2 linked regions of the Yarrowia lipolytica genome follow. The protein of the gene in region 2 purifies or fractionates together with the protein of the main gene of each other region. This does not show direct contact. Links are inferred from orthologs where the notes say so. Each region holds a gene or a part of one and is shown on either strand. Other genes may lie near its edges.

What was found.
Region 1: the proteins of YALI1_F13446g (region 2) and YALI1_C22857g purify together in Saccharomyces cerevisiae (affinity purification with mass spectrometry; 4 studies listed by BioGRID). This does not show direct contact. The link is inferred for Yarrowia lipolytica from reciprocal best matches to the Saccharomyces cerevisiae genes UTP7 and NOP1.

What each region holds. Positions count from the first base shown.
Region 1 is NC_090772.1:2,284,258-2,288,430, reverse strand, and holds YALI1_C22857g (rRNA methyltransferase NOP1), read left to right. Parts: upstream 1-2,707; coding exon 2,708-3,673; downstream 3,674-4,173. Other genes in the region: YALI1_C22878g (uncharacterized protein), read right to left, coding at 112-362, 429-582; YALI1_C22876g (uncharacterized protein), read left to right, coding at 664-681, 747-947.
Region 2 is NC_090775.1:1,341,566-1,347,388, reverse strand, and holds YALI1_F13446g (uncharacterized protein), read left to right. Parts: upstream 1-2,753; coding exon 2,754-4,322; downstream 4,323-5,823. Other genes in the region: YALI1_F13476g (uncharacterized protein), read left to right, coding at 1-294; YALI1_F13452g (uncharacterized protein), read right to left, coding at 975-2,150; YALI1_F13395g (uncharacterized protein), read right to left, coding at 4,979-5,823. UniProt on the Saccharomyces cerevisiae protein: Involved in nucleolar processing of pre-18S ribosomal RNA.

The sequences.
Region 1 (4,173 bases), on a different chromosome or scaffold from region 2:
CATCAATATGGCGATTCCTGGAAGATAGACAATGGTTTGTGGTCTTGAGGGTGGTATTTGAGCACATTTCAATCCATTTTTGGACTCAAACAAGTGTTTATTAGCTACACATCAAGTAATTATGCCAACGGTTGTTGATATGTCCTCCGTCAATACGATGAATCCAGGGTACTGTAGCTGGAATTTCTCTACATAGGCGATTTGGCAAAGGACTGAGACATTTATCACTGCCCAAAAAAGACCAACATCGAATCCACAGTGCTGAGAGTTGCCTGGACAAATCAGGACTTGATAGACAGCAGAAACAGACAGAACGAGAAGCAGAAAAAGCCCTCCTTTATAGAAAAACGACCATGTGTACTCTCAATGAAGTAATTCTCCAATTTCACCACTCACATAGATGGATCTTATGTAACAAATACATCAACGATTCCCACATGACTTGCAAAAGCGGCTGTTCCAACCCAGGAAGATGATGACCACTCTTTGGGAGGCGGGATAGAACACAAAATCAACTACAGACATATGTATCCGAGTGGATCGGAGTCGTACTTGAGAGCCGAACAGATTGAAGATCTCCATTGTTCTTACCGATCATCTGGAAAGGTGTAAGTACCATATGTGCTACCCGTACTGTATGTACAGACTAGAAGCATTCTCTCAATGATTGATCTACTTGTTGTCTTCAACTGAGCCTTGGAGTGGAGCTCAAGCCGCGCGAGGTATCCGAGTCATGGTAACAATAGAAACACAAGAACCTCCTGAACGAGCTCCACCCAGACATCACCATTGTCGACTCACGACCTGAAAGATCTCTGGGACTACTTGTACTGATCTGGAGATCAGGTGAAAGTGGTCAGAATATCGTGGTCAACTGTGCGGATCGAACGTGCATTGTACGACGTAACCAGGAGGCAAGTATGGTGTGTACTGTACTGTACTTGTAGACTAGAATTGTGTCCTGAAAAGACTGGCATGTGTCCAATGTCTGTTATCCATGCTAAAGTACGGGTCAAGCCAGTCAAGTTCATGTAGAACCGACTGAGAGAGTCTGCTTCTTTCTGAACAAAGACGTCTTGGTCTTGTCTTCCTGCCCCGTCCTGCTTCACTTGCCTGGATTGGCGGCAGCTCAGCCCGGCGGCTTAGTCCGAGCAGTACCATTGCGATCTCCTTGTCTCTGTAACCTCGTCACTCATATCCCCTCAACGAGCACGCCGGATAGAGCATCTGGCAGCTTTCAGTCTCGAAAAAGGCACATGAGAGAGTAAGAGCACGGAGAGACCACGGTTGGTAGGTTCCACGGGTTCTTCTCTAGCGTGCTACAGGTACGAGTACACGTACATACTGTACAGTACATACATACATACCACCTGAAAGCGGCGCTCTGGAGTATCTCACTCTGAAGGCCCTTCGTTGTCACTCTGGAGTATCTCACTCTGAAGGCCCTTCGTTATCACTCTGGAGTATCTCACTCTGATGGCCCTCCACTGTCACTCTGGAGTATTTCACTCTGTACCTCTGTCGTCAGAGACCACCCTCATGGCTCCTGGAGACGTTCTGAAAAACATGTTCAGTACAGAGCCATATGGTACCCGTGAGAGCAACACACAATCTCCCTTCGTAATCGCGTCAACCATCTCATCCACTCTCCCCGGACCGTACCGTCCCTCCACAAACTCTGTCACTACTCAGATCCCAATCACTGCGCCAAAGGTAGGGTTAATCGCAGCATGAGAGACGCAATCAGCAAAAAAAATTGGACCTGTGCATGATGCAAGTTCCCTACTTGTAGAATAATAATAATAAAAAAATAAAAAAAAAGTTGGTGCGTGACCTTGGTCGATTGTGTATCTATGAATGACGGTACTAGGAGTCGTGGAACTATCATGAGCTCTTCTGATCCTGTCTAGCCCCTCATTTGGTTTTAGCGTCTGTTGAAGATACCCCAAAGCCCATATTAGTGGCCGTAGTACCACATTGGTTCGTTTGTGAAAAAAAAAAAAAAAAAAAAAAAAAAAAAAACTTTCAAGCGTAGTTAAATATTTTGCGAATATTTGGGTGGGTCTGAACAGAGGTACAGCCAGCACTGGTAGATATATGGTGACTGGAGCGTGAAATCAAATAAGGAAATACGAATAGGGCATTTCCAGTGACCAAATCCCACCGACAATGGAGATATTGCAAAACCAGTAGTCCCCCTTCCAGCCCAATTGCTCCATTTCGAGTGGCTTGGAGGGACCAACTAATACCTAAATCATTTAACATTAAATAAACATTAAACAAAAGTCCCAACTACTTGCTAACCATATTTGTTCTAAAAACTCCCACTCCCAACTAACCTAGTTGGCAACTAAAGGCCAAACCTAACCTGTCTCCGAAACGCTCCACAGAACGCCAATCAAAACGAAAAAAACACCATAATACTACCGCGTTCTCTAATTTTCACCATTCACCACCTTTTCTCTTCTCAACCCCGTCCCCCCGTTTCCAACCAGACCCAAGTGGCCAAATCAGACCCACTGTTTCTGTGCACAAACGGGCAAACTCTAACCGCTACCCAAACCCAGAAAAATTTTTGAAAGCCTAAAAAGATCTTCTACCAAAAAAATATTCCTTAGTGCATCTTGACATTCATCACCACACAACCAGTGCAATAACCCATATTGCACCACACAAAAAGGACTTTGAAACACAACACATACACATAATGGGCTTTACTCCTAGAGGTGGACGAGGCGGAGGCCGAGGAGGATTCGGCGGCGGAGACCGTGGTGGACGAGGTGGCCGAGGAGGGTTTGGCGGACGAGGTGGTGGACGAGGTGGATTCGGCGGAGACCGAGGAGGACGAGGAGGCGCTCGGGGCGGCCGAGGTGGTGCCCGAGGTGGTGCCCGAGGCGGTGCCCGTGGTGGTCGAGGTGGTGCTCGAGGTGGTGCCAAGGGCGGAGCCAAGGTCATTGTCGAGCCCCATCGACACGGCGGTGTCTTCATTGCCCGAGGTAAGGAGGATCTCCTTGTCACCAAGAACCTGACCCCCGGTGAGTCTGTCTACGGCGAGAAGCGAGTTTCGGTCGATGTTCCTGCCACCACCCCCGATGGCGAGGCCACCAAGGTCGAGTACCGAGTGTGGAACCCCTTCCGATCCAAGCTGGCTGCAGGTATTCTCGGTGGTCTCGATGAGCTCTTCATCGGCCCCGGATCCAAGGTCCTTTACCTTGGTGCTGCTTCCGGAACCTCCGTTTCCCATGTTGCCGATGTCGTGGGCCCCACCGGTACCGTCTACGCCGTTGAGTTCTCCCACAGATCCGGCCGAGACCTGATAGGCATGGCCAAGAAGCGACCTAACGTCATCCCCATCATTGAGGATGCTCGACACCCCCAGAAGTACCGAATGCTTGTCGGTATGGTCGATGCTGTCTTCGCCGATGTTGCCCAGCCTGATCAGGCCCGAATTATCGCCCTGAACGCACACCTGTTCCTCAAGGACCAGGGAGGAGTCATCATCTCCATCAAGGCCAACTGTATCGACTCCACTGTCGAGGCCGAGACCGTGTTTGCCCGAGAGGTTCAGAAGCTGCGAGAGGAGCGAATCAAGCCTCTGGAACAGCTGACCCTGGAGCCTTACGAGCGAGACCATTGCATTGTTATTGGCAAGTACATTCGAGCTAACAAATAAGTGTCTTCCACAGGATGATGCGGCTATGGGGTGCTAGATTGGATATAAATAATAATTGTATACTTTGATTGAGACATGTAGGATGGATACAGGAACTTGTACGACGGGAACATGGGGTGGGACCAGGGAGCCAGGGCACCACGAGACCACGGATCACGGACTCACTATTGTGCGAATGTTGATCTACTCCAATTGGACGCAGATTATGCATGCCATTTTGGAGGATTATAGAAAATGAGTTGATGAGTAATACAAGTACAATTACTTGTACTGGACGCATGTTCAAAGTATTTGCGCTCGACTGTGGCAATTGACACTGGACAGACTGAATACGAAACTTGGATAATCCCACTTGCATCGCTTAGTAATCACGAACATACAATAACCAAGTGTATTTCAACTAAATACTTAACTAAGCTAATGTGGACGACGATGTTTGTATTGATTGTAGTTTTTTTTTAGTTCAACAGAAAACGTTGAATTTTTAATACATATGGTAA
Region 2 (5,823 bases):
GCTCTTGCCAACGTCATTTCTGACGGCCAGCCTCCCAAGGAACTTTACGTTGCCGACAATGGTCAGCTTGTCGTCAACGAGCATCCAGCCGAGACCGGTAAGGGCTACAACGGTGGCTGGGGCTTCTCCGGTGACGGCTCCGTCAAAGAGTTCTCTTCTTACGGCACTAAGGAGTTCTACTCTTGCGTTTCCAACGACGACCCTCTTCACGGAGGAAACGATGTCTACGTTTTCAACGGCAAGTACGCCTGTGACAAGCCCAACAAGTTCACCATTGGCGCAACCAAGGAGTAGTGATTTCTACCAACTATTTATTCTCTCTTTTCCGCTTCACATTCACGCTTTCGACCGCCTACAATGTAGTTCTTTCCCTATTTTGATATAGTAAACCAATTCAATATTGATAGTTATTTCGAGTCCATTGATGAGTTTAGTTTAGTGTAGAATGAATAGCGTATCCGCGGCAATCAACAATGACCGTTTATATCTCCCTTTGTCGTCTGTAACGCTCCTACAACGATAGCGGGTTTTTTTTATGCTAATGATTCATTACAGCTATATACCTAATAAGCCGGGTTATTGGCGTTGAATTTTTGAATTTTTGCACTCATGTAGACATAAAGTCCAGTTTTCAACATCAGGTTGTATAGTGTAGCGGTTATCACCTTGGATTCTGAAGAAAACTTCGATTTCCAGTAACCCCGGTTCGATTCCGGGTACGACCTTTCCAGTTACGGCCATATCCTGGTGAAAATACGGCTTCCCGTCCGATCAGCCATAGTCAAGCACCAGAGAGCCTAGTTAGTATTGTAGTGGGAGACCATACGAGAATCCTGGGTGCTGTAATCTTTTGCCTCTCAAGCTGAGGTATTTCATTTTTTTTGTTTTACTTTTTCTCCTATTACACTACAAGACTTTGTCTACTGACTGATGGTTGTCTTTTTTGGTATAAATTTAATGCAAATAAATAACGATCAGAGCTCACCGCACTTGTGCTTGAGTCGCACAATCTCGGCGTCTCTGAGATTAATGGTTAGTCGCAAGAGCTCGATCTTGGACAGTCCGTCGGTGGACTTGTGCATCTCCTTGATGGTGTTCTGCAGCGCCTTCTTCTCGTTGATGAGAGTCTTGGTCTGGGCCAGCAGCTTGTTGTTGGAGTCTTCGACTTCGGCAATCTTCTTGTTGTTCTGTTCGATAACTCCCACCAGCACCTTCATGTGGTTGGCCAGCCGACGGTTCTCGGCGTTGCGCTCCTTAAGAGACTTGCACACTCGCTGGTACACGTCTTTGAGCGACGTGTATGTCGTCATAAGGGTGTGTTGCGACATGAGCTGCTGCTTGAGCTCTCTGACGGAGGCAAACGAGTCTGTGACCGAGTTGTCTGACCCTCCGGTGGCAAAGAAGTCGTCTTCGGGAGACAAGTTGAAGATCTTGCCCAGGTACTCGTCCATGTTCTGTTTGGACTCGGGCTCCTCAGTTGCGGAGGCAAGAGTGGAGGGAGGCATAGAGGGACTAACAGACGAGGCGGCAGACGAGGACACAGAGGGAATGTGGCTGTAGGAGTAGCAGGGGGGTTGTGGAAGATCCATAGTCGATGCAAGAAACTCAGGCAGAGAGCCCGAGTCGGGGGGGCTATGGATTTCTTCGATCTTTACGGGTTCGGGGCTGATCTCGGTTTTGATATCCCTCTTGGTCTCTGCAGAGACCGTGTGGATATTCTCCTCGTCATCGTCCTCGATCTCGATGATCTCTATGGGTTTGATCTCCTTCTTGAGATCCTTATCATCGCATTCGGATCCGGGCGTCAGAGAGTTGGGAGTGGCGAGATTCACGTCGTCGGGCTCCGACTTGTACGCAAGATCTCGCTCCAGCATGCGCGCCATTTCCTGGTCCTCGGAATCCTTCTCCAGCTTGACCTTTTTGGCTGGAGATGCCGGCTCCGTCTCTAGAGCCCTCTTGCCATGCTCGGGACTGTTGGAGGGGTCTCCATGGGGCGACGATTCCTTCTTCCAGTCGTCGTTAAAGTCCTGCTCGAACAGCTGGTCAATTGTGTTCATTGCTGACGGCGTCAGTTGTCGGGTAGCTGTGCTCTGTTTGGTACTATGTTGTGTGTTGTGCGAAAATTCACTGTTCGATTTTTTTGCCTTCATGCACTTTGGGCGAAAAAAAAAATTTGAAGTTATGCAGGCAACATTGTTTTCGGCACTGTTGATGATACCCGATAAGACAGGGATATGGCGACCTATATATAGCTAGCTGGGGGCTGGAGCCGTTACAGAGGGGATGTGGCGACTGTGCTCTAAAAATTAGTTTGGCCACTGCAAGTATATAAATATATATACATACGTGTCCTCCAGACAACCATCCCCATACACACTTAGTACCTTTCTCTATCATAGCCCGGCCATTAGAGAGCCGCACAGGTCAACCATAAAGAGAATCAGAGCAGGTAGGTGACGATGCTGAGTTCAATGCAACCGACGAGGATAGCAAACAAACACAGAGTTGCATACTTGTAGTTAGCATGCGACATTATGTTTGTTGCCGGAAAATCCAACATATTCGACATTTCTGGATGAAGAGAAGCGGTTGTGGTCTCACCGGTGCCACTACTCCATATTATATAATCATGCAATGCAATATGTAGGTGGTGAAGTTTAAAATATTTTTTTCCCCTAGGCCCCAACATCACAGAATTATCACCAAGCACCAGCAGACCAGCACCATATACAGCAGCCAATAGACAACCAACCATGTCTGAAGCACCAAAGAAGAAGCCGGCCTGGAAGACGGCCCGAAACAAGGAGCTCCGTAAGGATCTCAAGCGGGTGGAGAGCCACACCCAGGAGGCCAAGGAGGCGGCGAAAAAGACAGAAATGCTGCTGTTGGAGGAACAGGGCTTTCTAGAGGCCGAAAACGAAATGGAGGCGACCCACAAGGTGACGCAGGAGGAGATCAAGGCGTCGGTTGATATTTCCACCAAGAAAAAGGCCTACGACCTCAAGCTGCCCGACTTTGGCCCCTATGACATCAACTTCACCCGAACAGGCCGAAAGCTGCTCATTGGAGGCCGAAAGGGCCATGTGGCAGCGTTTGACTGGCGAGAGGGACGTCTACAGTTTGAACTCAACCTCAACGAGACTGTTCGTGCGGTCCAGTGGCTCCATAACGACCAATACTTTGCTGTGGCCCAGAAAAGGAATGTCTTCATCTATGACCACCAGGGATCCGAAGTACACAGACTCAAGCAGCAGATCGAAATGACCAACCTCGATTTCCTGCCCTACCACTACCTGCTCGTATCGTCGGGTCTCACCAGCATGCTCTTTTACCAGGATGTATCTATTGGTAAGCAAGTGGCTGCCTTCAAGACCAGACTGGGCCCCACCACCTCCCAGTGCCAGAACCCCTATAATGCCATCATGAATCTCGGCCACTCCAACGGAACCGTGACCATGTGGTCGCCCAACGTGGACGAGCCTCTGGTCAAGATGCTGGCCCATCGAGGCCCCGTGAACGACGTTTCTGTCGACCGATCAGGACGATACCTGGCCACGGCTGGCTCCGACTCGTCCGTCAAGGTCTGGGATATCAGAAACACCTACAAGGAGGTGCTGCGTCTGCCCCGAACCAAGGTGGCGCCCCAGACGGTTAACTGGTCTGACTCCAACCTGCTTTCTGTGGGCCACGGAAACACCATCACCGTGTGGAAGGACGTGCAATCTGCTCCTCGACCCAAGCAGCCCTATATGCAACACAACATGCATCCCGACTGGAAGGTGAGCAGCGCGCAGTTTGTGCCGTTTGAAGACATCCTTGGAGTAGGCCACTCCGAGGGCTTCTCTTCACTCATCATTCCCGGAGCCGGAGAGGCCAACTTTGACGCTCTGGAAGTCAACCCTTACCAGACGCGACACCAGCGACGAGAGGAGGAGGTGCGAACACTGCTGCAGAAGCTCCAGCCCGAGATGATCACCATGGATCCCGAAGACATTGGACGAATCGCCATGGACAAGGACCGGCGACGAAAGACGGCCCGAGAGCAGATGGAGGAGATCACGGAGCCCAACAAGAAGCGGGCACAAGAGTCGGACGACGACATGCCCGAGCTGCAACCCCATCTGGCCGACGAGGAGACGGCCGTCAGCAAGGAGCTGCAAAAGAAGAAAAAGAAGGGTGTGGTGGACGAGCGGCAGATGCGACTGGAGCAGCTTCAGGAGCGAGAGCGACGAATGCGAGAGAACAAAAAGCGACGACTGGAGGAGGGATATGTGGAGGAGTACGTGTCTCCTGCTATCTCCAGATTTCAGCAGAGACAATAGATAATTTATGCATATTGAACGAGCAAAAGTACAAGGCAAGTAATAGCAGACCGGCTGCTGACAGATGGAGTGGCCAAGTGAATCTGTACGCGTAGATGTAGTAAAAGAGCTACTGCTTATCGGTCCATCTCTTGTACCCAGGCATGGGAACACGAGTAAATACTGTACTGCGTCTCTTCAGATATTCTTTACTAGTGAAAGACCAACAGCGACTGGCTCGTTTCGAAAGTAGTCTCTTGATTACATGCTGTCTGTACTTTTACCGGTATGTGCGAACAGATTCATATGAATCGAACATGAGATAACGAGCCACCGAGCCACTCCTTTTCAGGCAGCTGATACTTAGGGTCTTGCTGCTGACTCGTTTATGAGTTGGCCCAGTGTAGTCATGTTTACGTTGGATCTAGCTGAAGAGAAGTGCCGTCGATATCATGGACCAGTGGCAACACATTACAATAGAAGGGACTTCGTTCAATCCCGCTTTTCTCGTCGTCTAGTTTTCAACTCCATGTTCTATTGCACCTTCCATTGCAAGCTGTTCTTTATATATTGGTTACAACTGCACAACAACAGTGTACACGCCCAGTCATTTGTGCGCTCCATCTACAGGCACTCTACGCCCTTGCTCGGTTCTCCAACAATCATTACCAATATGCTTACTCGGTCTCCTCGACGTACTTGAAAGGCTCGGGCAGAGGAGCCTCGTCGTCCTCATCATCAAAAGGATTGTTGATCTGTCGGACCGTCTTGATGAACTGAGGCTTCTTGCCGCCCTTGCCCTTCTCCTGGTCTCTCAGAACCACAACTCCACCAACAGAATGCAACTTTCGAATGGGCACAAACCGGTTCTCCTCAGGAAACGAAATATACTTGAGCTGGGAAGGCAGCACTCGTGTTAAGTTGGCAAGACGCCACTTCTTCTGACCGGGGATTCGCTTATCAGCGTCCTCGTCCACCTTGGCCTCCTTGGCAGGCTTTGAAGATGCTGCAGCGGCGGAGGAGGGCTCCTCGGGCTTCTCCTCAACTTCCATCTTGTCAGCCTTATCCTTCTCGTTCTTCTTGGCCCGAGCCTTGGCACGAGCTGTGGTAGAGAGAACGGCGGTGGCAACCTTTTCGGGAGCCTTGTCAACCACCTCCTCGGCAGGAGGAGGGTAGCCAAAGTAGGAGGGCTTGTGAGAGGTGACAAAGTCAAACTGGGGGATCTTGAGGTCCTCGTTGACTCCGGTGACAGCAGTGGTGCTGAATGACAGAGACAGGAAGTGGGTGTAGGGGAACCAGTACCAGAACTGCGAGAAGACAACCAGACCGACAATGGCCTTCATGTTAAGAGACCCAGTCTGGGGGTTCTCAAGAGCAATGGTCACATTTCGACCTCCGGCATCAATGATACCCTGAGCTAGAGCAGCACCAAACTTGACCATGGGGTCCTCGTGCTTGGAGGCAATGGCATGAGCAAAGGTCTCCCGGGCAGTCTTGACTCGAGGACTCATCTTCTCATTCT